Linked DNA regions of Rattus norvegicus. The protein of the gene in region 1 interacts with the protein of each later gene in a biochemical or structural test. Links are inferred from orthologs where the notes say so. Each region holds a gene or a part of one and is shown in the gene's direction. Other genes may lie near its edges.

Region 1 (3,516 bases):
CAGGCCCCCACTGAATATTTTTATTAATCACAGCACCCAGTTTTCTTTTGAGAGTAAAGTGTGGCTTGAACCTGTTTAAGGGTTTGATCAGACTTATACAGCAATCCAAACTCAGCCTGTCTGAGGTCCAAGTGTGTACCATGTGAGAGACTTTGAGAGGACAACTCTGGTTGTGGCCTAGACCTTAGATACAATCAGCTTCTGCCATGCTCTTCAAGGGACCCATTATTTAAAGATATCTTAGTTTGTCATCCCCCTCCTTTCATTTTAAAGATATAGAAGGTGCTTACTTAGTGATCAGATATTACTTAAAAGTTGTTAATGCACTTTGATCTGAATAGCGCTAATTTCTCTCAGTTACAATAGTCCTTAATTTTGTCAGGCACCCCTACTGGCTGGTTGTTACTTATGCCTTTATTGGTGTGTGTGTGTGTGTGTGTGTGTGTGTGTGTGTGTGTGTGTGTGTGTGTGTTCATTGTGAAAGTATGAGTATGTAAAACATTCTTGAATCTTAGCAGGAAAGTTTCCATGAAAAGAAATGAAGTCTAGGGTAATTGCTAGGATTCTCTGGATTTCCAGCCATTTCTAGAGAGCATGCCATTAAGAACAGTGAGCCCTCTCAGAGCTTTCTTTGTTTCTCTTTGTGAAATAAAGTGGGGTTGATGTACTATATTATTGTCAGAAATAATAGATTTTTTGGAATCAAGCACACTGGTGAACCTTAAAATAACTACTTATGTCAAGCATTTTAGATGTAATCTTTTGTGTACTGTAGAGGAAAATCCTGAATTTCTGTTCAATGCTTACATGTTCAAAGTCTTCTAAAGCGATATTTGAATGCATTTGTGGCACTTTAAAAATGACAGTAAGAGGCTGTTGTAGATTTAAAGTGATCATTATGTCCTCATGCCTACTAATCCCCCTCTTCTCAATCCAATGTAGTGGAAGTTGAAACTTACCGTTGAAGATGGCAGACCCAGATGTTCTCACTGAAGTTCCAGCAGCATTGAAGCGGTTAGCCAAGTATGTCATCCGGGGCTTTTATGGCATTGAGCATGTGTTGGCCTTGGACATCTTGATCCGGAACCCTTGTGTAAAAGAAGAGGACATGCTGGAGCTGCTCAAGTTTGACCGGAAGCAGCTTCGATCCGTTTTGAATAATTTAAAGGGAGACAAGTTCATCAAATGCAGAATGAGGGTAGAGACTGCTGCAGATGGGAAGACCACCCGCCATAACTACTACTTCATCAATTACCGCACTCTTGTTAATGTAGTGAAGTATAAGCTGGACCACATGAGAAGGAGGATTGAAACGGATGAGAGAAACTCCACCAATCGGGCTTCCTTCAAATGTCCTGTCTGCTGCAGCACTTTCACTGACCTGGAAGCTAATCAGCTGTTTGAACCCATGACAGGTGAGACCTACCCAGATGATGAATCAAGCTAAGATGTGTACTCTTTTAATTTCTGTTGTTCTAAATTGTAAGCCAATCATAGACTTTGTAGGAGTAAATAGATCAGTGCGAGTCAGCGTACAGTCTTTTGCATTGCCCTTTTCCTTCATAGGGAGGTCTACTTTTTTTTTTCCTTTTTTTCCGGAGCTGGGGACCGAACCCAGGGCCTTGTGCTCGCTAGGCAAGCGCTCTACCGCTGAGCTAAATCCCCAACCCAGGGAGGTCTACTTATCCATGGAGTTTTCCCACCACTGGCTCTCCTGAATTTCCTCCCTTCCCCATCCCAACCTTTATTTACTGTGGTAGCCTAATCTGAAGGATTGAGTTCTCTACCCCCTTGTGGTTATTCTGAGTTAATTGTGACCCCATTCTTCAGCAAATTATTTTAGTGTCTACTTATGTCAGTCACTGACAGGTCAGCTTATAAGCATATACTGTACTCGAGAGTTTGATAGTGGACTTGCACTGTGCTGAGAGGAGAGTGTAACTAGGATATGTGGTCTGCATTTGGGGAAGGTCTGTAGAAGAAGGAATAGGTGAGACCTGAAAGATTAAATGAGAATTAGCTAAATCAGGTAAGAGGAGAACCCTTTTTAACTTAACAAATGGATCAATAATACAAATCAGTTAATGAAAGAGAACTGTTAAAAGCATACATGATTTGCCTCATTTAATCAGATACTTTATTTTTAAGAATTTTCATGAATACAATTAATAAACCATGTTTTCCAAAATACAGAATATATACCATTAACACAAAAAACATTAAAGTGCTGGGTTAAATGGTTATTTTCAAACTAAGCATGAGACAAGTTCTGTCATATACTTGGAGAAACAGTTTTGTCTTGTTACCTTGCTTTGTCTAGGAGAGGGGTTTTTGGTTTGGTTTTGGTTGTTGTCCTTTTGTTTTTTGAGACTTGGTCTCCCCGTGTAACTTAGACTAGAACTCACTTGAATTCAATGTTGACCTTGAACTCCTATTGAACTCCTTCTGCCTCAGTCTCCAGAATGCTATGATTATGCACCACCACCACCATCCCCACCCCCTGCACTACCTTGCCTAATGCATTGGTTATTTTTGTTACTGTGATAAAAACAGCATGCCCAGAACTGACTGATGAAAGGAAGAGTTTATTTTGACTGACAATTGGGGCAGATGGAGCAGCAAGCTAAATCTTCAAGTACATGAAGCTGGAGCAACTAGTTATAGGTGGACTAATCTTATAAATGCTCAAAGTCTGGCCCCAGTGACATACTTCTCAGGCAAGGTTTCACCTCTTAAAGGTTAAACTCCCTAAGTAGTACCATCAACAGCCTATGGGAAACATTTCTCATTCAAAGGCCCATATCTAATTAGGAGAAATCTTATTTATTTATTTATTTATTTATTTTCCAAGACAGAGTCTACTTTATAGCCTAAAATCACCAGGAGCCAACTGTGCTGCTCAGACTGGCCTTGAACTCTTGGTAATCAGTCCTACCTCAGGCCCCTAATACTGGGATTATTATGAAGTAGTATGCTTGGCTGTGAGAGCTTGACCATAAGAAAACCTTAATTATCATGCTGGGTGTAACCATTGTTTGATTATACCAAAGGAATTTCTAGAATTTATTTGGAGCTCTTCCAAAATAAACTAGTTACATTTTAAGCTTTTGTCATTGACTCCTGACAGGTTTCTTAAAGAATCGTGGTTCTGGTGCTGTGGTTTTTGTTGATATTACAGTGGTTTTGTCTTATCTAGTTCTTCAAAACGATAATCTGTAGTAATTCTACATTTATTTGTCATTTGAGTCCTATTTAATTTTATGAAACTTCCTAAAAAATCACTGAGGTAATTGACCCAGGTTGCTCTTTGAATCTCACTCATGGTTAGGAACTAGTGAGGAACTAGTTGTAATCAACAGACAGCCTTTGGAAAGGTTGACCTGATTTACCAGGAGAGCTAGAGTTTATTAGAATCAAGGCCTTGACCGAGGGTAAAGGCATGAGAAGATTTTTTTCTGGAAGAAATCTGAAGCTGAAGCAGGAGTGTTGTAGTCAGGCTGAACAAAGCCCATATTT
Region 2 (3,516 bases), on another chromosome or scaffold:
ATTCATTATATATAAGTACACTGTAGCTGTCTTCAGATACACCAGAAGAGGGCATCGGATCTCTTTACAGATGGTTGTGAGCCACCATGTGGTTGCTGGGAATTGAACTCAGGACCTCTGGAAGAGCAGTCAGTGCTCTTAACCACTGAGCCATCTCTCCAGCCCCCTTACTTAGATTCTTAAAGTTGAGAAGCTTTTGGCTTTTTATTCCCATTGTAGTCCCAAGCTCTGAGGAGCAAATAAATGTGAAGAAAATGAATTCTGGGGCCTGTAGACATGTCTTAGTAGTTAGGAGTACTTACTGCTCAAGCATGAGGGCCTGAATTCCAATATTCAGCAACCTTAGAAAAAAAAGAGAGAAAAAAAGTACAGCATGCCTTGACCCCATTGCCGTGGGCACAGCCCTGTGGGCACAGCCCTGTGGGCACAGGCAAGGAGACTTGCTGGTTGGCTAGTGCTATAGCCTAACTCTAGATTCAGTCAGATAGCACAGGCATATAAACACCACACAAGTTCTTGCTTCCCTCTCTCACCAAAAAAGGAAGAAAGGTGGACACTTTAAGCAGAATTTTTATCATCTTGTTAAAACTATAACAAAAATATCCAAAGCTAAAGTTAATATCTAAGGAATGTCTCATATTATTTCTCAATTTCCTAAATGAACGTTTTGGTTTTGGTTTATTTGGGGTTGGTTTTCTTGTTTGTTTGTTTGATTAGGGCCTGCAGCTTCCTATGTGGTCTTTGCAGTGGTGGGATTATGGAGGGCATTACCTTACCTATCCCGAGCTGTACTTTCGTGCTTGGTGTCCACATGCTGCAGCACTGTTTGTTGGAAAGGCTTGACAGAACTCCTTCATGCCTTTCCAGAACTGTGCTTGGCAGATACTTGTGGATCTTGGGTTCGCTGTGTACTCCACTGATCCCCCTGTCTCTCCATCACTAGCACACAGTATGAATTGAAGTTGCTCTGTTGGGTCTTAAAATATGTACATGTAAGAACTAACACTAGTTTCTTTTCCAAATTTTTTCAACTAACTAGACTTTTACTTCTGTATATAAAATTCAGATTAACTTGTTTACATGTGTAAAATGTCAGAATTTTAACCCTGTTTTTTGGAGAATCCATTCTTTCTTGTGTTCACATGTTTGTTGTGGGTCTGTAGAACTATGATTTTAAGATACATTTATGCTATGTCTTCTACTCTTTACATATTACCAGTTCTAATTTGTTTTTCTCTATGAGTAGTTTTCTTAGGATTTTCTACACAGACTATCTTAACAGGCCACATTTTGTTACTTTCTTCCATTTCTGTGTCTTTGGATACGTTACTTAAATTTGAATCCTACTTGTCTTTCAGGACATGTGTAGTCTTCCAGATTACGTGACGTTCAAGAGTTTCCCTGGCATCCCCCTGCAGCACATCTTCATTGCAGCTGGAGACGACCTGCTTGAGCTCATACAAGGCTTGTTCTTATTCAACCCATGTACTAGAATTACAGCTTCACAGGTACTCAGCAGCATTAATAAAACAAACTCAGGTTTCTAAAGTTTTTAATATCCTTAAATACCAGGGCGAGAGGTCTATCTTTGGTGTGTGTGTCTGTGTCCTTTCCTGAAGCTATAGACAGTGTCTGGCTGATAGGAAGTCTTGTTATGCAAACATCACATAAGAGTTTACACTTGTTAGAGGTGTGTGTGTTCTCACGCCACTGACAGATTTCAGATGGATTGTTTTAATTATGTGTATGGATGTTTTGGCAGCATGTATGTTTATACACCATGTATGTACAGTGTCCATAAAGGCCAGAAGAAGGCATCAGATCCCCTGACTCAGACTTACAGAAGGTTGAAGGGCGGATGTTGGGAACCAAACATAGGTCCTGTGGAGGAGCAGCCATTGTTCCTAACCGCTGAGCAATCTCTCCAGCCTGCTTCATTTGAGCTCTTTATTTTTGAGTCAGGACCAAGTTGGCCTTGACTTCAGTATGACATAGTTGGAAATGGTAACTTCTTACCTCTTTCTTCCTTTTGAGGGGGAGGGGGAGTTGAGGCAGGGTCTCTCTCTCTGTCGTCCTGGCTGTCCTTGAAGTCACTCTATAGACCAGGCTGTCCTGCCTCTGCCAAGGTGTGACACCCCCTCTCCCTGCAGTTTGTCAGGTTTGGGTTTTTGTAAATTTTTTGTTTGGTTTGGTTTTGCTTTTGGGGTTTCTTTGTTTGTTTGGTTTTTAGAGACAGTGTTTGTTTCTCCATGTAGCCCTGGCTGTCCTAGAACTCACTTTGTAGACAGGCTGGCCTCAAACGCACAGATCCACCTTCCTGTGCCCTCTAAATACTTGAGATTAATACTTCATTTTGTTTTTGTTTATTTGTTTTTGAGAGAAAGTATGAAGATGGGTAGGCGCAGAGGAACTGGGAGGAGTTGGGAAAGGGGGGGAATATAATCAAAATATTATACTTCAAAACATTTTATAAATAAGAGTACCTGATCTTCTTGACTGTTGGAGAGAGTCTAGAGTAAATAAATCACTGTGGCTGTTAACAGTACTGGCATATTATAAATAGGTATTAGTTGACAAACTTGTCATTTGAGAGGAAACCACTTTTATATAAAACTGTAAATTCTAGAACATTATACTCTAGTGGTTAAAGCAACCTTGGATTGGCCCAAACAAGTTTTTACCATTCACAGTAGATTATTGTTTTGTAATTTATTGGTTCCAGTTTGGGCTTTGTGGTTGTACAAATGTTAGAAGGGAGTGTGCCACTTCTATCCTCCAACCACATCCCCCGCCAACAGTATCAGCCAGTTGCAGGATACTGGGTGTTTATTTATGTATTGTGTCCAAATACTTGATGCTAATTTTTTGTTTGGTGCTATAAGAGTATTTGCATACTATTTTTAATGCTGTCAACAATTTGGGACTAGATTTTCCTACTCACAGTACAAACATTTAAAGCACCCCTTTTGAGCTGGGCATGGTGGTACATGGCTATGTACCCAGCACTCAGAGACAAGTTGGAGGAAGACAGCTACAAGTTACAGACCAGCCAGTGCCCCACAGTGACGTCTTGTCTCAAAATAGGACAAAAGAATAAGACCTTGCTTTCTTTTCTTTGAAAAGGCGTTGAGGACCAAGTACTTCAGTAATCGTCCAGGGCCAACACCTGGATGCCAGCTTCCAAGACCAAACTGTCCAGTGGAAGCATTAAAGGAACAGTCAAATCCAGCCATGGCGACAAAACGGAAAAGAGCGGAGGCCTTAGAACAAGGTAACAGTCCCCATCGATAAATGACATCAGAAAGCTCTACAGCTCATTATCGCTGGCACTGGAAGCCAGTTAGGAAAAGAGCTGTTCAGTTGTTTACGTAGGAAATAGAATGTGTTCCTCTTCTCTTCAGCCAAGGACACTTGAGGCACTTTGAGTATGCCTGAGAGTTCTAAGAGCTGTCCTTGATGTGTGCCTTCTATCCTGCACCTTTGCCAACCCGTTTATTTTTTTTTTTTTAAATACAC
Region 3 (3,516 bases), on another chromosome or scaffold:
AGTGGGATCCTAAAAATGGATAGAGATTTGATGTAAAGGAAGATAGAATTTGTCTTCCTCAATAATAAACTTTACTAATTTTTTTGGTAAAAATGAAGTTTTCATGTCAGTAGAAAATATAGGTCAGAATGTGATCATGCTAATTGAACCACAGGCTACATGGAGTCCTTTAAATCCTAGGGCTTGGCAGTAATGTGCCAGATAGAAGGCTGAGTTTTGGTAGATTTATGGTTTCTGTTAAGGACACAGGAATAGTTTACTTTCCTAATTTAGACTCTGTTATTCGTCTAAATTATTCCATTAAGCTTCCGTATATAACTCACTGATTTTCCTTTCTGTAGTGAAGAACAATCCAGACTAGCAGCAAGAAAATACGCTAGAGTTGTGCAGAAGCTGGGCTTCCCAGCTAAGTTCTTAGACTTCAAGATCCAGAACATGGTGGGGAGCTGTGATGTGAAGTTCCCCATAAGGCTGGAAGGCCTTGTGTTGACCCACCAGCAGTTCAGTAGGTAGGTCTAAGAAGTGTGGGGAGGAGTTTTCCAACAGTCCATTTATAATCTTCTCAGGTATCATTTAGGATGAATTACACGTAAGATGTGCAGTTTCTAAGCATGTATGATGTAGTTGAAGTTAAATATTTGTAAACACAAGGTATTGCTACACTTGTGCTACTGCTCTCTCTCTACTGTTCTTACAAGTCCCATTTCCTTGTCACATGACACCCTGACTCTCTCACTGGAATGACTTAGTTCACTTCTGCTCACCAGTTGGTTAGTCAATCACTAGATGTAAATACATGAATTGGTAGTTAATTCCATCACTTTTCTCCTGGTGACAACATAGCAGCACAGTGTACAGATGAGCTGCAGAGGTGGACTGCCCAGTTTCCTCCTGGCCTTTCTCAGCCTGGGTATTTGCTTAGCATCCCTACTCATATCTTTATCTTGGCATCTGTTTCCTAGTTGCAGCCACACGCTCACCAGTACCCTCACACTCACCAGATTCCTCTTGCTCCATGTCCTCTGCACATGATACTTTTAATCCTGCCATATTGGGTACAATTTTCAACATAGAAACTCCTGTTTGAGTTTCAGGAGTTCGCTCATGTTGCTCTTCCTCATATAGACCTGTCCTGAGTTTATCTCCAGATCACTCCCAAGAAAGGCAGAACAAAGAAATCTGAGATCACTCTGTTAGAGTACATTAACTAGTGTTAATTCAGGTAGATGGTTAATGTTAATTTCAGATGTTAGAAAAACAGCTCCAGCATAGTTCTATTCAGGAAGGCGAGATGATTACAAGGCTGACTGTCACTCTTAGCTTAGGAATGAATAGTGAGGTATTGATAAGCTGCTATACCTAGACTAACTCAAAAGTGACTCTAAATAGCGATCAGACTGAGCATACAAGTCTTGTTTTCATCACAGAAAATCTAGAATCTGTGAAGCTAGCATTAAGTGGTAGGAGAGAACCTGCAGTCAGTAATTAGTCCCCATGTCCATGATACGTGGCTCCTGACTGGCAGAGGTTTTCTTCCTACACCTGGACTGCTCACTCAGTCCTTTCTGGCACATAGCCTCTTTGTATCTAGAAACACAAAAAACTGTTAATTTCTAACCTGTATTCCCATTTTCTTTCTAGCTATGAGCCAGAATTATTTCCTGGATTAATCTACAGAATGATCAAACCCAGAATTGTTCTCCTTATTTTTGTTTCTGGAAAAGTTGTATTAACAGGTAAGTTGAAAGGGAAGTGGTGTACTGAAACTGCAAAGGACGTTGGGATGGGATCTTCTGTGTTGGGACAGTTGTCTGCCCACTTGGAGGATGCTTTTGTTGAAGTTTTGCACCCCATCCTAACTTCATGAGAAGGGTGGAAGAGTGAGAAGAGCAGCTGCTATAGCTGTCAGCTACTTAAGCTCGATTGTGGCGGCAGGCAGGGAGGGAACACTGCCTGTTTTCAGTTGGCCCCTGCACTGAAATTATTAGAGTACAATTCTGAGATAACAAGATTGAAAAGAGTTCACTTGAACATCAACTGTTGGGAGAGTAAGGTTTCAGTCCTCAGTGCTTCTCAGCTACTATGTCACTCAGGACCAAGTATGGGAAGGAACTAGACTAGGGAGTGGATATTGTCTTGCTGACTTGTGGACCCTGGCCTAGGACCAACTATATAGTGAGGAAATGATGGTCTAGGGTGTTTAAAGGTCACTAGATGTATCACTTTTTAAAATACTAAGAAAATACTGTTTTAAAAACATAGCTGAAGAGCTAGCTGGACATGACCCTTAATCCTCCTAGCAATTGGAAGGCAGAGACAGGCCAGCCTGGTCTATTCAAGTTTTCAAGTTCCAGGACAGCCAAAGCTACAAGAGAAACCCTGTCTCAAAAAAAAAAAAAAAAAAAGGAAGTGTGGTAGAGGGGTGCAGCAGCTAGGATTGTGATAAGAGGATCCCGCCACTTGTTTCAATGCCATTTTTTGTCTTAATTGGGTATGGAGAGAACTGTACTTATGTTTTAAGGTAATGATGTTACTTTCTATTTTAAGATATGTTACTTAACCATCTCGTTTCTGTTCCAATGTGTCTTTGTAGGTGCTAAAGTTAGAGCAGAGATTTATGAAGCATTTGAAAACATCTACCCCATCTTAAAGGGATTCAGGAAGACCACATAGTTGTCTGCCATGGACTCCTGTCTCCCCTACCCACGTGTTTTTTTTTTTAAAACCAGTCAGTTTTGGTACCACTGAAGGTACAGTTGTGAGGACACTCAGTTACAGGTGGCAGCATGAAGTGACACTGTGTGTCCTACTGCAGGATACTAGAAAGGTTCCCTCCTCTGCACTGAGATCACCCTGCAGCATCACTGTGAGTTGCTTGCTCTGTGCTGCTACTTGGGCGGCACTGCCCATTTATTTATATTTAGATTGTAAACACTGCTGCTGGTGATTGTTGGTTTAAGGGACAGAACTTTTAAGTGTTCAAGCCACCTGTACAATTGGACTTTTTATTTTAACCTTTCCCACACAAGCAAGTTTTTATATTTCTACCAGAAAAGTAAAAATCTTTTTTAAAAGTGTTGTTTTTCTAGTTTGTAACTCTTAGGAGTTCTTTTTGTGCCAGATACATTCCGCCTTCCCAGTATTGCAGGACTGAATAGTGGTATTCATCAAAACAAATGACTGTACATACTTTTCTTTCCTGAGTACTCTGCACAAAAGTGCAGCTGTAAATTGTTAGATTTTTGTTATAAATGATACCTTGTAAGTCATGTGATCATACTGTCAAAGAAATTTATTTTAGATATAATGCCTGAGACCATTGTTTTGTTTGCTTGTCTGATTTTTGTATTTTTTGTTAAACATTTATTGTCTGGAGCAATGAGAATGGACATGCCACTGATTTTATGATCCCCATTGAACACCCTCGTGTCCTAGATAGTCCACCTTGCTTGGGATCTTCACCAAATTAGTTGTTCTGTTCCTTTTCTGGCCTTTGACAAAGCCTTGCCCAAAGTC
Region 4 (4,209 bases), on another chromosome or scaffold:
GATGTTGTGCCTATAAAATGAATAAAGCATTATTTTGCATTCATCCATTCTGCTTCAGTAAATCTGGGGCACAAGCAGTATTTCTGTCTAGGAGTTCAGCGAGTAGTGTAGAAGACAACGGTATCCATGCCTTTCATGGTACGGTGTTAAGTATCACACAATGTGGTGTGGAGAAACAGAACTCTCTCTGGGGGTCTCTCTTCCTGGTAGTCTTTGTTTCTTTTCTACTTGTCTTTGTTTATAAGTAGACGTTTGCCAAATGATAGGGCCAGAAAAGGACGGGGCGGGGGGAGTATCTAAGGCACAGGTGTTGGTTTCAAAGAGGTAGTGAAATGGTAGGAGGAAGGGCCTGGAGTCTTCATGTAGGTGGATGGGATTGGTGTGGAATCCTGTGTGGAATTGTGAGAATAGGAGGATCAAACTGAGAGGACCCAGTAAAACACAGGGTAGAATTTCATTCCAAAGGCAAGTGCCAGAGGAAATTACCAAATGAAGACTCAGGAGGCAGAAGCTGTGATGAAAGCTGGCAAGCTCAGAGAGGCAGAGAAAGCACCCAGCTGACCTTCCTACTCTACCAGCTCTCCATGCACTCTCCAACACCCTTCAACTCAAAGTGCCTCCTTTCTCTTGCTTATGTTCACTCTCTGTCAGTTGGTTACTTGCTCTGCCTCTTGATCTAGGGTTGACTTTATTTAGCTCTGGGACCGAGGTGTGCGCACCAATACTGTTCCAGGCCACAAATACTTGTTTACAGTAAACAGAAAGTTCTGGGATCAAAGGCTGAGCCACAGTTATTAGCAGATTCTTCCAGTTCACAATCTCAGAGTTCATAGTGTGATTAAATATCCTGCAACAGGAAACTGTTTAAGCAGGGCAGTTAAATAATCAGATTTATTTCTTGCGTGGTGGGTCTTACTGACCCAAATAGATGGCATTTGGGCTTTGGCGTCTGAAAGAGTGTATTCTTCTTGCACCGTGTGAACTTATTTTTAAGTCTCGAAAAGGCATGTGTCCAGCATACTCACTTGTACCTTAGTGCCCACTTGTGCCAATGACATTGGGCCAAGAAAGTGACTTTTACCCCTAAGTCTGTCCTTTAAATGCCTAGCCTCTTCAGCTAGGGTTGGGTATGAATACATACAGTTTTTGTCTGTCTTAACCTTTTTTCCCCCATTTTTGGCACCTTTTCTTTAAATGCACTACTCAGGATTTGGTTTTTCCTTTCTGCACTTGGGTCTCAGGTTTGCATGTTGGCAGGAGTCACACCCACCTGAGAAATTGCGGAAGCAGGAAATTTGTCCCTCGCGGGACGCTGTCCGGACGTACCGTGCGCAGGCGCACTTCTTCATTCAGCGGCGTGTTCCTCTCGTCTTAAGTTTCTAGTTCCCGGCCGGTGAGCCACTCCGGCTTTTCGCGGTCTACTTGTCCCAGCGTCCGGCTCTGGACTGTCTATCGCTCTCTGACGTTCAGTCCCGGGTCGCTGCTTGTGCGCGCACGCCGCCTCACACGACAAACTTATGGCGGAGCGCGGGGAACTCGATCTGACGGGCGCCAAACAGAACACCGGCGTGTGGCTGGTGAAGGTGAGACGCGAGCCCCACGGGGCGCTTCCGAAAGTTCTGGGTCTGTCTTTCCCGGGCCACCGCTGTTCTGAGAAGCGGGTCGCTGTTGCGCCTGTTTGCAGGTTGGAGAACTTACTTTAGGGGCCACAGGGCATCTTTCAGTCTGTCTGTCAATTTCATCCGCCCACCATAGAACTCTGTTTACCGCCAAGACCTGGCCTTCCTGATGTTCCCGAGAAAGCAGTAAATTTTACCCCATGCCGGAAAAGCCCTTGCGGGTTTGTTTGTTTGTTTGTTTTTTGTCTTTGTTTTGGTAAGGTTAACTTTAGTCATGAATGTGTATAAATTAGGTGAGTAGATACACAGTTTTCTGGACCACAAAGTGGAACTGGTCCCTGTGAACTTTTGCTGTTTTGTTTTGAAACAGAATCTCTCTCTCTCTCTCTCTCTCTCTCTCTCTCTCTCTCTCTCTCTCTTCTCTTCTCTTCTCTTCTCTTCTCTTCTCTTCTCTTCTCTCTTTCTCTCTGTCTCTGTCTCTGTCTCTGTCTCTGTCTCTGTCTCTCTCTCTCTCTCTGCTGGTCTGGAAGACTTCTGTCGCTTTACACTGGTAAAGTGTTCCCTGAGTTGGTAATCCAATTGGAGTTTTCCACTGGTAAAGTGTTCCCTGAGTTGGTAATCCAATTGGAGTTTTCGAAAGACCTGGAAGTTCCGAATTCAAAGAGAAGTTTGTTGACTTAGTGTTTTTAAAGAGCGAGTTTAGGTTTCATGAAACTTAACCATCAGTAAATGTTTTAAACGGACACGTGCCAGGCTTTGTTTGCCCCAGTGGTCACCATCTATTTGGGTTACATTTTTTATATGGACTGGGGGACTATTACTCTGTGGGAAATCTCGTTTTAAAAAGCCGTATTTAAATGGGATCATCAACGTTTCCCAAAGTTGGTTTATCAATGATTTATCTTTATAGTGAGTGTCAATGTTTTAAGCACATGGCTGAGTTCTCATCAAGACAAGGTGTCTTTTCCTGTCCATTACTCTGAACAGCTCCCGTTTGCCAGTTCTGCAGACCATGTTAAGTTTTTCAAACCATTTAACAGTTTCTGGTGATTCTTTGTACCTGTACCCAGTGTTGATTGCCTCCACCTCCAAGTCACTTTCTTTGCACTTTGATTAGTGTTTGGCACATATTACTTTCCCAGTGTGTGATGAATATAAGAAATTGAAAAGGCTGTATATCAGAGAGACACAAAACTAAAGTGGGTGGGGGTTAGTCTTCTCAGTTTCATCAGATTAAGAGCTTATGCAGTTAGTGAAGCACACCTTTGGGTGTGTTTGTGGTGCTGTTTTCTGGAGGCAAAGTAGGTCATGAGGGCTATGATCTAATTAAGGGATTAGTTACTCCTTAGGTGGATTTGTAATATGGCGTCTCTGGGAAGTAGTGAAAGGTGGTGAGGTGAGGGCCTAGTTGGAAGAGGTAGATACTGGCGGTATGTTCTTAGGGCTGCCCTGGCCCTGTCTATATCTTCTCTATATCGTGGCCATTGCGATGTGAGCTTGCAGTGCTCCTCCTCGCTTTTCCACAGATAGAGACTAAGATACCCAGTGCAAAATAAATCTTTAATTGTTTCTGTCAGATATTTGGTCACAGTGACTAAAGTCTGATTAATACAAATAATACAGCAGAGGGTTGTAAGTAACAGGAGAAAAGAAAACCTACTCTCTTCCTTTCCTCTCCCTTCCCTTCTCTCCCTGTCTTTTCATCTTTCCCTTTCTCATTCTCTTCCTTTCTGTAGTTCAGGCTGGCCTGGAACTCACTGTGTAACCCAGGCTGGCCTTAAACTCATGGTAATCCTCCACCTCTGTGCGTTTAGAGCATCTGTGCTTCTTGCGTATTTATGTTAGATAAATAAAGCAGAGCTATCAAGTAGGTGCTCCTGTGGTGCTGCACACCTTTAATCTGAGTGCTTGAGAGGTTAGCCTGGTCTACATTTGTGAGTCAGGGGAATGTAGTAAGACCCAGAAGCCAGAAGAGGGCATTGGATCTCCTGGTACTACCGTTATAGCTGGTTATGAACTGCCATGTGGGTGCTGGGAGTCAAACCTAGGTCCTCTGGAAGAGCAGCCAGTACTTTTAATGCTGGGCCGTTTTTCCAGCTCCCATCAAACTTAAATATTCAAACCATTAAAAATTTCACACGCTATTTTGAGATACGCTGCCCACAATCTCACCTAGCTTTATTTCTGAGTCGTATCAGTATCCCTGGGTTCAGTTTTCATATCTGTAGACGGGGGAGAGTACATTTGAGTTTGAAAAGAGATTGAGGGGATGAATTTCCGATGTCTACAAGGTGTCTGACAGAATTGTCTCCTCAGCCTTCCTCTTTTCCAGCCTCCGGCATATCATCTGACACCCTTTGGTAGTCCAGTAAGTTAATATGATGAACTTACACAGAATCGAATACATAACAACCAGTCTTTCTTACTCCTTTTTTAAAACCATAACTGTAGTCAAGGTACTGCCCCACTCCCCCAGCCCCCATAATCTTGTTTCCCCTTTGCAGCCCCAACAGCTGTGTCTCAGTCCTGTATTCATTGTGATCATGTTATTATTCTGAGATTACTATGAGACAACTGGCACTCAATGAAT
Region 5 (3,516 bases), on another chromosome or scaffold:
AGCTCCCCAGCTGTGTCCTGGGGACAGGCTCCAGCCTGAGTGACCTGTGTGGCTTGGAGTCAAGTCAAATTTGCTTTCAGTGTCTGGGCTCTTGACAGTGTTGGTAGGTGAATGCTGGCATTTGTGAGCTGGTAACTCCCTGAGGTCATTTGTCCTCTATTCTTCTTTCTGTCTTTTGAACAGGTCTAAAAGCCATGGTAAATATTCTTATCTGGAACCAGACTTCCACTCTCTAGTAGCCAGGCTACCCACAGGATACCACAGAGCAGTGCCGAGTTGCGAGCGGCATGGTTCCTTCTCAGTGTGGAAAGTGATGATGTAGCCGTTTCTTCTGTTCTTGCAGCCAAGATGTTCCGGCGAGTGCTGACCATTGTGCAGGCCCACTGTAAGCTTGGTTTGACTGCAACCCTCGTCCGGGAAGATGACAAAATTGTTGACTTAAATTTCTTGATCGGACCCAAGCTTTACGAAGCCAACTGGATGGAGCTGCAGAACAATGGGTACATCGCCAAAGTCCAGTGTGCTGAGGTATTGCACCCTGGGTGGTATGCCAAGTAAGGGCTCCTCCCAGGGGAACGGAAGGAACCTTCCGATAAACTCCTCCTGGGCAGGCAAGCAGGTCAGGACCCATGAATAAGCATGGCGTACTGTAGTCCCCGTCTCTCAAGGTGAGCCACACTTGATAGGGGAGTGCACGGGAATCCCTGTCTCTGTCACATGGTTACGTGCAAGCGGGTACAGACCATGCCTTTGCACAGTTGGCTGCCTGCTGCCCACCTTCACTCTATAGGATTGCGGCCGCTGCCGCCGCAGCCTCTGAGGGCAACCACTAAGGCTAATCCCAGTGCCACAGTCCCTGAAGAAATTGGTCCTTCTGGTTTTGTTTCTGGGAACACACTTTTCCAATACTGTTTTTTAGTGAATACTTGGACAGGTATGTGTTAAAATCCAGAGTCAAAGATGAGTCTCTGAGGGAATGACAAAGCTATCCATCTTAGCACTTTTAAGTGACTGCTGCTCAAGAGCCGGAGCAGGGTGGCCTCTGGGAAATAGACTTCTGATTGAGGTGAGTTTGAGAAACTGTAGTGACTGTTAGCACCATCTGCAACCCAGTGTTGCTGCTCATTGCCTGACAGCGTGGCCCTCCTTTCCCATCTGCCCAGTAGGACAGTCACTGGTGTGGAACTTGCCTTATACCTGTCAGTCACCCTACCCTCTGAGCCATCCTGCCAGCCCTGCAGAATTTTCTTGATCATGAATGTAGCCGTAGTTCATCCTCTTGAATTATCCAAAGATTCCTTTGAATCTTTCATACCATGTTCTCAGTTTGATACAGAGCAATAGAAAACCCTTTTAATATTGAATGATATTATTTTATTTATATTATAATAATTAGGATATTTAACCTTAAAGTGTTTTTGTAAGGCTTTTGTTACTTGTTTAGTGATAAAGCTCTTGCCTAGCATGTGCAAGAGAGACTCTGGGTTCATCTCCTGCACACACACAAACAAATTAACAGACACATTTATTACAATATAATTTGTGGGTGAGGATTGGGGTTCAGAGAACAGGGAGGAATGAGAGCCCTTAGCACCAGGATGCTGCCTAGTAACACAGATGCTGCCTGGGAACATAGGTGCCGCATGCATAGGGATGTAGACACTGCATGCATGAGAACATAGGTACTGCATGCATGGGGATGTATATGCTGCATGCATGGGAACATAGGTGTTGCATTCATGAGGACATAGAAGCTGCATGCATGGGAACATAGGTACTGCATGCATGGGGACATATATGCTGCATGCATGGGAATATAGGTGCTGCATGCATGGGGACATAGATGCTGCATGCATGGGGACATAGATGCTGCATGCATGGGGACATAGGTGCTGCATGCATGGGGACATAGGTGCTGCATGCATAGGGACATAGGTGCTGCATGCATGGGGACGTAGGTGCTACATGCATGGGGACGTAGGTGCTACATGCATGGGGACGTAGGTACTGCATGCATGGGGACATAGGTGCTGCGTGCATGGGGACATAGGTGCTGCATGCATGGGGACATAGGTGCTGCATGCATGGGGACATAGGTGCGGCATGCATGGGGACGTAGGTGCTGCATGCATGGGGACGTAGGTGCTGCATGCATGGGGAAGTAGGTGTTGCATGCATGGGGAAGTAGGTGCTGCATGCATGGGGACGTAGTAGCAGAGGGCTTTGCACTTCGCAGAGAGTCCAATGTGCTACTAGCCCTCCAAGAAGAGGAGTAAAGGAGCAGTACTGATGGTGTGGGTGTGGTCTAAGTGGAGGGTTGCCGGTTTCTTAAACTAGCAGCTTGATGAAAAGAATGACCTGGATAGGAGGACTGCACTAAAACCACTGTTATGTTAGTTTCCATCCAATATATCAAGTATTAAGTTTTCTTTTAAACTATTTGGTTAGTACGGGTGGTTGTCTGCATGTGTGTCTGTATAGCACATGCATGAGTGCCGTTGGAGGCCAAAAGAGGACATTGGATTCCCCAGGACTGAAGTTAGACAATTGTTAGCTGCCGTGTGAGTGCTGGAAATCCAATTGAGGTGCTCTGGAAGAGCAGTAAGTGGTCTTAACTGCTGAGCCATCTCTCCAGACAATTTTATTTATTTATTTATTTATTTATTTATTTATTTATTTATTTATTTGGTTCTTTTTTTCGGAGCTGGGGACCGAACCCAGGGCCTTGCGCTTCCTAGGTAAGCGCTCTACCACTGAGCTAAATCCCCAGCCCCAATTTTATTTTTAATTAAAATATAATTACATCACTCTTTCCCTCTTCTCCCTCCGACCCTTCTAATCCCTCCCCTCCCTGCTTCTCCCTCTAATTTATGACTCTTTTTGAGTTTTTGTTGTACAATTCTGGACATTAACCCTCTGTCATATATAGCTTTCAAAAATTCTCTCCCACTTGCAGGCTTCCTCTTCACTCAACTGAGTATTCTTAGCTGCGCAGAAGCTCTTTAGTTCTCTGCAGTCCACTTGTCAGTTGCTGGACCTGCGTTCTAGGCAAATGGAATCCCGTTCAGGAAGTCCTTTCCTCTGCTGCTGTCCTGTGGTGTTTCATTACTTGGGCTATCTGGGGTCTTTTCTGGTTCTATTTGAAAGAAACATGGGATATCTTTTTTCTGAAGAAAAGTTGTGGGGATTTTAATTGGGATCACATTGAATCTGTTTATGGCTTTTGATAGAAATGGCCATTTTAAAAATATTAGTTCTCCCAGCTCATGAGCATGGGATGGTCTTTCCGTTTTCCTGTCTTCCTCAGCCTCATCCTCCAGTGATTTAAAGCTCTCATTGTGTAGGTCTTCACCCCCCTGGTTAGGTTTATTCCTAGGGACTTCGTTTTCTTTGGCGCTGTGGTGAATGGGTGTGTGTCTGCCCCTGTTCTCTTTCTCTGTATGCTGGTGGTGTGGGAGAGCTGTTGGTTCCTGCAGGTTGATTCTGTCTCCCGCCACTTTGCTGAAGTTGTTGGTG

Evidence for each region.
Region 2: of the proteins of Gtf2e1 (region 1) and Cdk7, one has a biochemical effect on the other in vitro, tested with the Homo sapiens proteins (3 studies listed by BioGRID, with this or other methods). The link is inferred for Rattus norvegicus from reciprocal best matches to the Homo sapiens genes GTF2E1 and CDK7.
Region 3: the proteins of Gtf2e1 (region 1) and Tbp form a complex in vitro, tested with the Homo sapiens proteins (3 studies listed by BioGRID). The link is inferred for Rattus norvegicus from reciprocal best matches to the Homo sapiens genes GTF2E1 and TBP.
Region 4: the proteins of Gtf2e1 (region 1) and Gtf2f2 form a complex in vitro, tested with the Homo sapiens proteins (2 studies listed by BioGRID). The link is inferred for Rattus norvegicus from reciprocal best matches to the Homo sapiens genes GTF2E1 and GTF2F2.
Region 5: the proteins of Gtf2e1 (region 1) and Ercc3 form a complex in vitro, tested with the Homo sapiens proteins (2 studies listed by BioGRID). The link is inferred for Rattus norvegicus from reciprocal best matches to the Homo sapiens genes GTF2E1 and ERCC3.

What each region holds. Positions count from the first base shown.
Region 1 is NC_086029.1:76,690,825-76,694,340, forward strand, and holds part of Gtf2e1 (general transcription factor IIE subunit 1), read left to right. Parts: intron 1-942; 5' UTR 943-967; coding exon 968-1,415; intron 1,416-3,516.
Region 2 is NC_086020.1:33,575,470-33,578,985, reverse strand, and holds part of Cdk7 (cyclin-dependent kinase 7), read left to right. Parts: intron 1-1,358; coding exon 1,359-1,508; intron 1,509-3,123; coding exon 3,124-3,271; intron 3,272-3,516. UniProt on the Homo sapiens protein: Serine/threonine kinase involved in cell cycle control and in RNA polymerase II-mediated RNA transcription. Cyclin-dependent kinases (CDKs) are activated by the binding to a cyclin and mediate the progression through the cell cycle.
Region 3 is NC_086019.1:65,150,197-65,153,712, forward strand, and holds the end of Tbp (TATA-box-binding protein), read left to right. Parts: intron 1-341; coding exon 342-509; intron 510-1,641; coding exon 1,642-1,736; coding exon of another isoform or gene 1,737-1,867; exon of another isoform or gene 1,868-2,585; intron 2,586-2,593; coding exon 2,594-2,673; 3' UTR 2,674-3,319; downstream 3,320-3,516. UniProt on the Homo sapiens protein: The TFIID basal transcription factor complex plays a major role in the initiation of RNA polymerase II (Pol II)-dependent transcription.
Region 4 is NC_086033.1:57,733,674-57,737,882, reverse strand, and holds the start of Gtf2f2 (general transcription factor IIF subunit 2), read left to right. Parts: upstream 1-1,405; 5' UTR 1,406-1,517; coding exon 1,518-1,583; intron 1,584-4,209. UniProt on the Homo sapiens protein: TFIIF is a general transcription initiation factor that binds to RNA polymerase II and helps to recruit it to the initiation complex in collaboration with TFIIB.
Region 5 is NC_086036.1:24,171,319-24,174,834, forward strand, and holds part of Ercc3 (general transcription and DNA repair factor IIH helicase subunit XPB), read left to right. Parts: intron 1-343; coding exon 344-528; intron 529-3,516. UniProt on the Homo sapiens protein: ATP-dependent 3'-5' DNA helicase/translocase. Binds dsDNA rather than ssDNA, unzipping it in a translocase rather than classical helicase activity. Component of the general transcription and DNA repair factor IIH (TFIIH) core complex.